Oryctolagus cuniculus: one gene and its partner. The protein of the gene in region 1 interacts with the protein of each later gene in a pairwise test. Links are inferred from orthologs where the notes say so. Each region holds a gene or a part of one and is shown in the gene's direction. Other genes may lie near its edges.

Region 1 (3,949 bases):
ATGATTAAATGTAAGATATTTATTTAACATTCAATTATTATATTAATTATTAAATGTAAGGATATTTACTTAACAACATTCTCCATATTTAGAACTTAGGAACAGCTTTTTTAAAAGTAGGCCACTCCATATACTGCAGTATACATAGTGATTAGTACCATGGGATTTGAAATAAATCAGATTTGAAAAGAATGCTGCCACTTTACTGGCTCTGAGTGATGTTTGGAAACTTATTTAATGTGAGTGAGCCTTTTCTGTATATAAAATAATAACATCATTAAGTATACTGAGAAAATTAAATGAAATACTTGATATAAAGCAATTAGCAAAGTGCCTGGCATATAATAAGCCTCAATAAATGACTATTATTATTTTTGTTTGGTGCATTGCATTCTTGAAAGAAAACCTCAATTGAGCCTGTTTTTTATAATTTTAAACACAATTCTGACAAGTTTTCTGTTCTTATTTCTTAATCCTCGGTGGTCAGAAGTATCAGATTAGAAGGAAGGAAAGCAAACATAATAGCAAACATTTATTAAGTGCCTCCTGTGTGCCAGACACTGCTAAATGCTTTATATGTGTTGTTTCCGTAGAGGCAAGTATACTAATAGCAACCAGAAGTGAGAGCTGATGCAAGGGGAGAAAACACTGTGTAAGACCAGAGCAGTCTGAACCTTTGTATAAAGGCAAGCAGATCTACCTACTCAGCCACACGGCTGTCCCTGTATTCCAGCACTGCATATATGAGGACATTAATAATCAAGAAAAGGTTAAATTACATTTTCTCCCTTTCTGTGATTTTATATACTCATATAGGACACTGCTGCATTTTAAGAAAACATGTAAATTATGTTCACTTTCTCTTTCTCCAACTAAAGCAGTTAATTATAGCATAAAACCTAAAAGCTACCAGAGAAAAATTTTTTTAAGAAATTAGTTTCCTGTATTAATTTTCTGGGCATTTGAAATGTGATTGGGTATATTTTACTGTCAGTTTACTAGTATAACCATTTCTGCTAGCTTACATTTTTATGGGCTCTGTAGCTAATCTTCTGAATGTGGAAAAGTCTGTAAACCTTAGGCTTTTCTCCAAGTCTGTGGGATAAATGTTGATTTCCTAAACCATTTAGATTCATTTAGGCAAAGTAAATATAATTGCATCATTTTAAAATCACCCTAACTTTGAACAATCATTAGGAGATCTGGTAGCATTTTAAAGGGCCTTCTGTGGTAACTTTGATGATAGCTATAACATTTTGTGTTTGATAGTTAAACTGTATTTCTTGTAAGCTGTCTTTCAAACTGAGCAACTAAAATAGCATGCTGATTTTCGCCAAATGGCTTATTTATCCTCATTCTCTTCTACAAAAGATTAAGAAAAGAAATGTAATATATGCTTTACAACTTTGTAGGTTTTCTTTATATTTTAGACTAAAACTAAAAATGGATATCTTATAACAATCTCTTTAAAGATATTACAGTAATGTAGACATATAACTTTTTTCTTTTTAAAAAGTATGTCATATTATAAAAATACAATATATAATATTCTAGTTTCCCAGATATAGAATGCATATGAGTGAGGTGAAGGGCTTATAGCTATGTCTATTTTCTTTATATTGTTCTACATTTTCCAAATTTTCTGTAATTTATTAAATTATTTTCTGTAATAATTTATTAAGCAAAACCAAAGGTTATTTTTAAAAATATTATCCTAAGTACAAATTATAAAAGAATAGTAACAAAACTAGCTAACAATTATTAAGCATTTAGTGGGTGCCATGGACCAGCCTAAGAGCTTTCACACATTATTTCATTAATTTTTCACAATAGCCTTAACATAGAAATTGCTCCCTTTTCCCATTTTCTGAAGAGGACCTGCAGGCATGTCCCAAGCCTCCCAACTAATCTGCAGCAGGTTAGGAGCTGGACTTGATATGTGTAGGCCAAGGCCTCTTGTAATAATAATCACCATTAGACCTAGAGTCGAAGAGAAAAATTCCAAATTTAATCTTGAAATTAAAAAGAGAACACATCTACATTGAACCACTTGACAAGTTGAAAAAGTTGCAAGATTTTGCACGTGTAATTTGACTTCTTACTTCAATAATCATCCACTCAGATCTTATAGGAGGATTCTTTGTAAATGAAATGTTCTTTATAGAAGAAAATTAATTTACATTAAAATATATATGTGTGTATGTATATTTTTTTTATGTTTTTAATGGTAGACTTGTGTACTAATACAATATCATCTTCTCCACAGAATGCAGACTATACCACTGGTCAGGTCTTTGATTTGTCTGAAAAGTTAGAGCAGTCAGAAGCCCAGCTGGGACGAGGAAGTTTCATGTTGGGTTTAGAAACACATGACCGAAAATCAGAGGACAAACTTGCCAAAGCCACAAGAGACAGGTAAGAATAAGAATAAGAATAAGAAAAAGATTCTTTTTACTTTCAATTCTCAAATAATAGTAGGAACCAAATTCCTTACAGTTCAAATTAGTCAGAATAATATCTGAACATTAAACTTCTTGGGACCTTTAAAAGTTGTCAAATGCAGATTTTAACTCTGAAAATTTAGGAGTCATTAGGTCAGAACATTAAAGGCTTAAATCAAAGATGTAGGCAGTGACATGGAATACTCCCAGTCATCTCTTCTAGTTCAGCTACAAAGTCAAAGAAAGAAACTAATCTTCCTTTAGGTCTTCAAATTAAAAAAAAATAAATAAAAGCAAGCCTTTGCCAAAAGAATCTCTTGGTTTATTGTCATATAAGCATCTGTAGAATTAAATTAAGAGATGTTGAAACTTAACAAATTTCAGGGTTTTTTTCATAAAGTCTTAAATCCCAAGATATCATAGGAGTGAATGTATCTCTCTTAAATTATGCTTCTGAAATTGTCCTTTATACTGTAATTTGGTACTCTAGATTTTAGTAAGGAATTTGTAGAAAACAAACTTAGGATGTTTTCTGCTGGCTTATGAAGTAACTGTGTGGCCCTCAGATACATAGACTGTACAGAGGTGAGAAGACTATCTAAATAACAGTTACTCTCACACTGAATTTGAGTTTAAATGTGATAAGGATAGAAAGGAAGGGAGAACATCTATATAAACTCATGTCTATTTTAAGACAAACTATATTGGTCCAAAGGAAAAAGCAAGGAGAAGGTAAAGAGTATCCTGGTTGTGGAAGTCATCTTGAATTAAATTCTGTCTCACCTTCTTCATGGGTTTTTAGAAAGTAGAGCTAGTGACCTGGATAAAGATTATACTTTTCTTTGGCATTTGGCCTTATTTTTAGTATTTGCTTTAGTGTAGTGTGTGTTTTTGCTCAGTTGTCTTTATGTCTGTAATTTGCAGTTTTATCTGCATTTACATTTCAACCTCTAATCAAGCAAACATTTCATTATGAGAATGTCTTCAATTATAATAAGAGAAAAGTAGAAAAGATAAAAGTAATGATGCAAAAGTAGAGAATTTTCCTTTTGGAGATGGCTTTATAAGAATTGCTTCCCTTCTGAATATTGGTGGAGTTTTATCATTGTTTCTGCCTTTTTACTTTTTTAAATTTTGTATTTATTTTGAAGTCAGAGAAACACAGATATATGGATAAAGACAGGGAGACAGATCTCCCATCCATTGGTTCACAGCAAGTGCCCACAACAGCCAAGGCTGGACCAGGCAGAAGGCAGGAGCCAAAAGAATTCAATCCAGGTCTCCCATGTAGGTGCCAGGGACTCAACTACTTGAGCCATCACTTGCTGCCCCCCAGAGTATGCATTAACAGGAAGCTGAAAAGGAGAACAGAACTGCAACTCAAACCCAGATGTGGGATGCAGGTGTCCCAAATGGCTGCTTAACTACTCCAGCAAATGTCCATCTCTGATTTTCACATTTTATCCTCTAAAATCTAAGTACTTTACTCACTTACCTAACTTTGACTT
Region 2 (5,243 bases), on another chromosome or scaffold:
CACCTGGGGGCAGCAGTGCGGGGTGGTGGGGTGGGGTCCCAGGTCCTGGCCCTGCCGCCCGCGTGGGAGACCCCGTGGAGCTCCGGGCTTTGGCCGGGCTGCTGTGGGCAGCTGTCTCTCTGTCTCTCTGTCTTTCTCTGCCTTTCAAATGAACAAATAAAATTTTTAAAATTACCTTTGCCTGTTTTCCTTTTTTCAAGAGTGGGCCCCAGGAGACGGCGTGGGGGCTTGCGGCCGTTCTCCCCGGGAGCCCCCGGGCCGGCCCTGGGGTGCCCTCGGCTGCAGCGTCCTGCTTCCTGCCCCAGGGCCAGGTTCAAAGGCAAATTCCCTGAGGACCGCGTCCCGGACTCCCTGACAACCCCCTGAGTGACCCCTAACCCACAGTGGCCACGGCTGGCTGCGAGGTTGCCGGGTCTGGGAGGCCAGGCGCGCGGGTTAAGGGTCCGCCTGGCGCAGGACCGGGCCCTCGGGGCGTCCACGCCCGCGTCGGAGGCCTGGATCTGCCCAGGCTCCACGGGCCCTGCTCCTGGGCCCGGTCCCCATTTCCCCCATCCACCCACGCCGTCTGGAGTCCCCCAGGGCTCTCCTAGTGCCCCCCCCACCTGCGCCCAGGGAGAGGCGTTGGGTTCTGGGGTGCGCAAGGGCACGCATGCGCCTTTCCTCGCTAGGTCACTAGGCCAGGGGACCGTCTGCGTCATCCCTCCCCGCTCCCTGGCCGGCCGCGTGCCCGTCCTGGCTGGGGTGGAGTCGGTGTGTGACGCGCGCACTTGTGTTTGAGAGGTAGACAGCAAGCAACACAGACACATACCCCACCCGCTGGCTCACTGCACCAGCCAGGAGCCAGGGACTCCATCCGGGGCTCCCGCGTGGGCGGCAGGGACCGGGGCCACCCGCTGCTTCCCGGGGTGCGCGCGCAGGGACCGGAGCCACCCACTGCCTCCCGGGTTCGCGCACGCAGGGACCGGGGCCACCCACTGCCTCCTGCGGTGCGCGCGCAGGGACAGGGCCACCCGCTGCCTCCCGGGGTGCGCGCACGCAGGGACAGAGCCACCCGCTGCCTCCCAGGTGCGCGCGCAGGGACCGGGGCCACCTGCTGCCTCCCGGGGTGCGCGCGCAGGGACCGGGGCCACCCGCTGCCTCCCGGGGTGCGCGCACGCAGGGACCGGAGCCACCCGCTGCCTCCCGGGGTGCGCGCACGCAGGGACCGGAGCCACCCGCTGCCTCCCGGGTGCGCGCGCAGGGACAGGGCCACCCGCTGCCTCCCGGGGTGCGCGCACGCAGGGACAGAGCCACCCGCTGCCTCCCGGGGCGCGCACGCAGGGACAGAGCCACCCGCTACCTCCCGGGGTGCGCGTGCAGGGACCGGAGCCACCCGCTGCCTCCCGGGGTGCGCGCACGCAGGGACAGGGCCACCCGCTGCCTCCCGGGGTGCGCGCGCAGGCACCGGAGCCAGGCCCTGCGCCCCGGCACTTGGCTGCGCGCCCGGCGTCCTGCGCGGCGGCCCCACTGACCTGGCCCCCGGCTGTCCGCAGAGCGAGCCTCGTGGACCTGCAGCAGAAGCTGGCGGAGCTGGAGCTGGACGAGCAGCAGCGGCGGCGGCTGGAGGCCTTCCTCACGCAGAAGGCCAAGGTCGGCGAGCTCAAGGACGATGACTTCGAGAGGATCTCGGAGCTGGGGGCCGGCAACGGCGGCGTGGTGACCAAGGTGCGGCACCGGCCCTCGGGCCTCATCATGGCCAGGAAGGTGAGCGGCGCTGGGGCGTGGGAGGGCACGGCGAGTATCTGGGAGGTGAGTCCCCCCCCCCCAGGGCTCCCTGGAGTGTGCGCCTGCACCAGAAGAGGGGAGGAAGCTTGGGGCCCGCCTTCTGGGTGTGCAGGCCAGGCCAGGAGGGCGCAGCTCGCGACCCCACACATTTCGGGGGGCACCGCCGTCTTTCCCCGAACACCTTCACCCGTCGGGAGAGGCCCGCCCAGCCCCGGAAGGCCGGCTGCGTCGCCGGTGTCTTGTGGGTTAAGTGTCCGTCACAGCTCCAGCCTGGCCCGGGGGTCACCGACAGCCCCCAGGCTGGGGAGCCTGCCTCCCCCAACCCGGACAGCCACCCCGGCCCCAGCTCCCGAGGCTCCGGGCAGCCAGGTGGGGGAATATCCCCCCACTCCCCGGGGTGGGGGGAGACGGGAGCAGGGACCGGCTGGGGGCCATGACTAAGCTCGTGGTGGGGACTCTGTGGTCAGACTGTGCGCCTCTCAGGCGTCTTCCTCCCACCACACACGGCTCGCTCTTCCAGGAAGCCCACCGCCCTGCGGCTGGGTGAGGTCCCGGCCTCCGGCTGTGTTTCCCGGGGATGGGAGGCCTGGATCCTCCTGGGGTCTGCAGCTTGCCACCTGCTCCCACAGCAGGACAGCCAGGACCCTCCTCCACCCTGCCCCCGAACCCCCACCCAGGGCACCTGTGGGACCCCCTAGGACGGCGCTGGTCGGAGAGCGGTGGGCACCGAGGCGTCTGGGGCCAGCGCCGCGGGAACGGGGCTCCGGGAGGCGGGGCCCAGGGGCTCCGCGTAGGGCTGCGTGGCCAGGCGAGCTCCGTGTGGCCTCCGTGGCCTCTGGCTCCTCCACCGTGTAAGGTGTCGCCTTTGAGGGTGAGGGATGGGGGGCGCAGGGGCCCCCTCTTTTCGCGTCTGTGATGGATGGATTGATTTGAACCGAGGATCCACTGGCTCGCTCCTCAAACGGCCCCGACTGCCAGGCTGGGCCCGGCCGAAGCCGGGAGCCTCACCCGGCTGCGTCCACGCGTGTGCGGGGGCCGGGCGCTCGGTGTCCTCTGCTGCTTTCCCAGGCGCCTTGGCAGGGGGCTGCATCCGACGGGTGCCCGTGCCAAGTCCGTGCCGGGACTTGTCGGCCCCCGGGGCACCTTACCAGACCTGCACAGACCGGCAGCTGGGCGCCCACCGCGTGCTGGCGTCACGCAGGTTATCCCATGCGCGTGCAGCACGACGGGCCTTGTAGAAGGCCCGAGAAGACTGACCTCTGGGTTTTAATGAATTAATGTGTTTATCTGAGAGGCAGAGCGCGTGTTGGCTCCGACCCCTGGGTCCCTCCCGGATCCCTGCGGCGGCCGGGGGCTCCATCCGGGTCTCCCACGCAGGTGCAGGGGCCCCCGCCCCTCCGCGGCCCCTCCCTGGCAGGGTCTACGCACGCGCAGGAAGCAGGGGTCAGGGCGCGCCCGCTGCCAGCGCCGTCTGCGCCCACGTGTGTTTCCCTCCCTCGTGGCAGAGAAACCCTGGCCTGGCCTCTGTGCCCCCTGCCGCAGTCACGTGACCGCAGCCACGGCCGCCTTGCCAGAGCTGGGCCTGGGGCGGCGCCGCTGGCCCGGACCTGTGTGCTCACGCATACCGGGCAGCCCTGCCCCCCGGGCCGGCTCCGGCTCCCGGGTCTGCCCAGCGCGCGCCTCACGCACACACAGTCACCCGCCCAGCCGTGGCAACCCCGGCCCGTGCCCGACTCGGCTCCCCCGCGCATGGGCGGTGGTGGGAGCCGTGGGGGGTGCGTGAGAAGCAAGAACCGGAGGCCGCGCCTGTGTCAGGGGGCGTGGGGGTGCCGCCCGGGGTCCTGTCGGGCGCTGCCAGCCCCTTGCTGTCCCGGGCCCGGCCGCCGCCCTCCGCCCCACCTTGGCGTCCCCCGAAACGCCCACCCCGCTGCAGCCCCGGCGTCACCCCTCACTGCCGGCACCCGTGGCTCTCTGTCCCTTCCCCCGGCCGTCCTCCCCTCCCCCCACCTTGTCTCCACCGGGCAGGGCCTGCCTCTCTCCCAGCGGCTGCCGGTCCCCATGGGGCGTTCTGGGTCACATCGGGTCCCTGTGGCCACCCCAGCCCCAGCTCGGCCGCGGGCTCCTGGCGCCCCCTGGGCTTGGCCTGCGGGCGTGCACTTGGCCGTGACCGCGGGGCTCTGTCCTGAGACAGCCGTGCTGGGCGCCGCCCTGTCGCCCACAGCTGATCCACCTGGAGATCAAGCCGGCCATCCGGAACCAGATCATCCGCGAGCTGCAGGTGCTGCACCAGTGCAACTCCCCGTACATCGTGGGCTTCTACGGCGCCTTCTACAGCGACGGCGAGATCAGCATCTGCATGCAGCACATGGTGAGGGCGGGGCCGGGGCCGCGCGGAGGCGGAGCTACAGGGCGCAGGACGCAGCTGGGGCCCGCCCCGAGGAGGCGGAGCTACAGGGCACAGGACGCAGCTGGGGCCCTCCCCGAGGAGGCGGAGCTACAGGGGACAGGACGCAGCTGGGGCCCTCCCCGAGGAGGCGGAGCTACAGGGCACAGGACGCAGCTGGGGCCCTCCCCGAGGAGGCGGAGCTACAGGGGACAGGACGCAGCTGGGGCCCTCCCCGAGGAGGCGGAGCTACAGGGCACAGGACGCAGCTGGGGCCCTCCCCGATGGCCACCCACCACGGCCAGGGCTGGGCCAGGCTGGAGCCAGGAGCCCCACGTGCGCCCCCACGCTGCCTCCCAGGGCGCATGCGCGGGGGCTGGGGCAGACGCACGCAGCCAGAGTTTGAACCGAGGCCCAGGGAGGGGTGCGGGCGTCCCGGGGGGTCGGGCGCTCTGCCAGGTGCCCGCGCCCACTCTGCTCGCCATCAGCAGCCGGGGCCCCGTCTCTGCGTGGTGGGCTGCACGGCCTTTGCGCCCATTCGCGGCAGCGCCTGGTCCTGCCGCGCGCCCCCTCGGGGTCAGGTCCCACGGGACCTGGTTGCTGTTGGCCTGCGGGCCTCTAAAGGGGGGGCTTTTTACGGTTAAGACTCACTGGTTTGAAGGGCACATGACAGAGAGGGAGAGAGACAGAACCTCCCTCTGGTTCACCCCTCGGACGGCCACAATGGCCGGGCACGGCCAGGGGCTCCGTCGGGTCTCCCGCGTGGGTGGCAGGGTTGGGCCGCCTTCCCAGGGGCCTTAGCAGGGAGCTGGGTCCGAGGCGGGGCAGCCAGGACCCCAGCCAGCGCTCACAGGGGACGTGGGGCTTTGTAAAAGGCAGGCCTCCTGCCCGCCCCCGGCCCAGACCTGCGGGGTTCCGCGCAGGGCGGGGCCCGGGCCGCGCCTCTCTGTGACCCCCACCCCCCACCCCACGCTGAGACCAGCGAAAGCAGAAGTGGTCAGGGCTGCGGGCCCAGAGGAAGCGCCCGGGCCCCGTGAGCGCCGGGCGTCAGGTGGGGGCTGCAGGCCCCTTGCAAAACCCGGGCGCGGCGGCTGCG

What was found.
Region 2: the proteins of COPS5 (region 1) and MAP2K2 interact in a two-hybrid assay, tested with the Homo sapiens proteins (2 studies listed by BioGRID and IntAct). The link is inferred for Oryctolagus cuniculus from reciprocal best matches to the Homo sapiens genes COPS5 and MAP2K2.

The regions. Positions count from the first base shown.
Region 1 is NC_091437.1:92,670,988-92,674,936, reverse strand, and holds part of COPS5 (COP9 signalosome complex subunit 5), read left to right. Parts: intron 1-2,266; coding exon 2,267-2,415; intron 2,416-3,949. UniProt on the Homo sapiens protein: Probable protease subunit of the COP9 signalosome complex (CSN), a complex involved in various cellular and developmental processes.
Region 2 is NC_091447.1:59,242,677-59,247,919, forward strand, and holds part of MAP2K2 (dual specificity mitogen-activated protein kinase kinase 2), read left to right. Parts: intron 1-1,532; coding exon 1,533-1,743; intron 1,744-3,985; coding exon 3,986-4,132; intron 4,133-5,243. UniProt on the Homo sapiens protein: Catalyzes the concomitant phosphorylation of a threonine and a tyrosine residue in a Thr-Glu-Tyr sequence located in MAP kinases. Activates the ERK1 and ERK2 MAP kinases.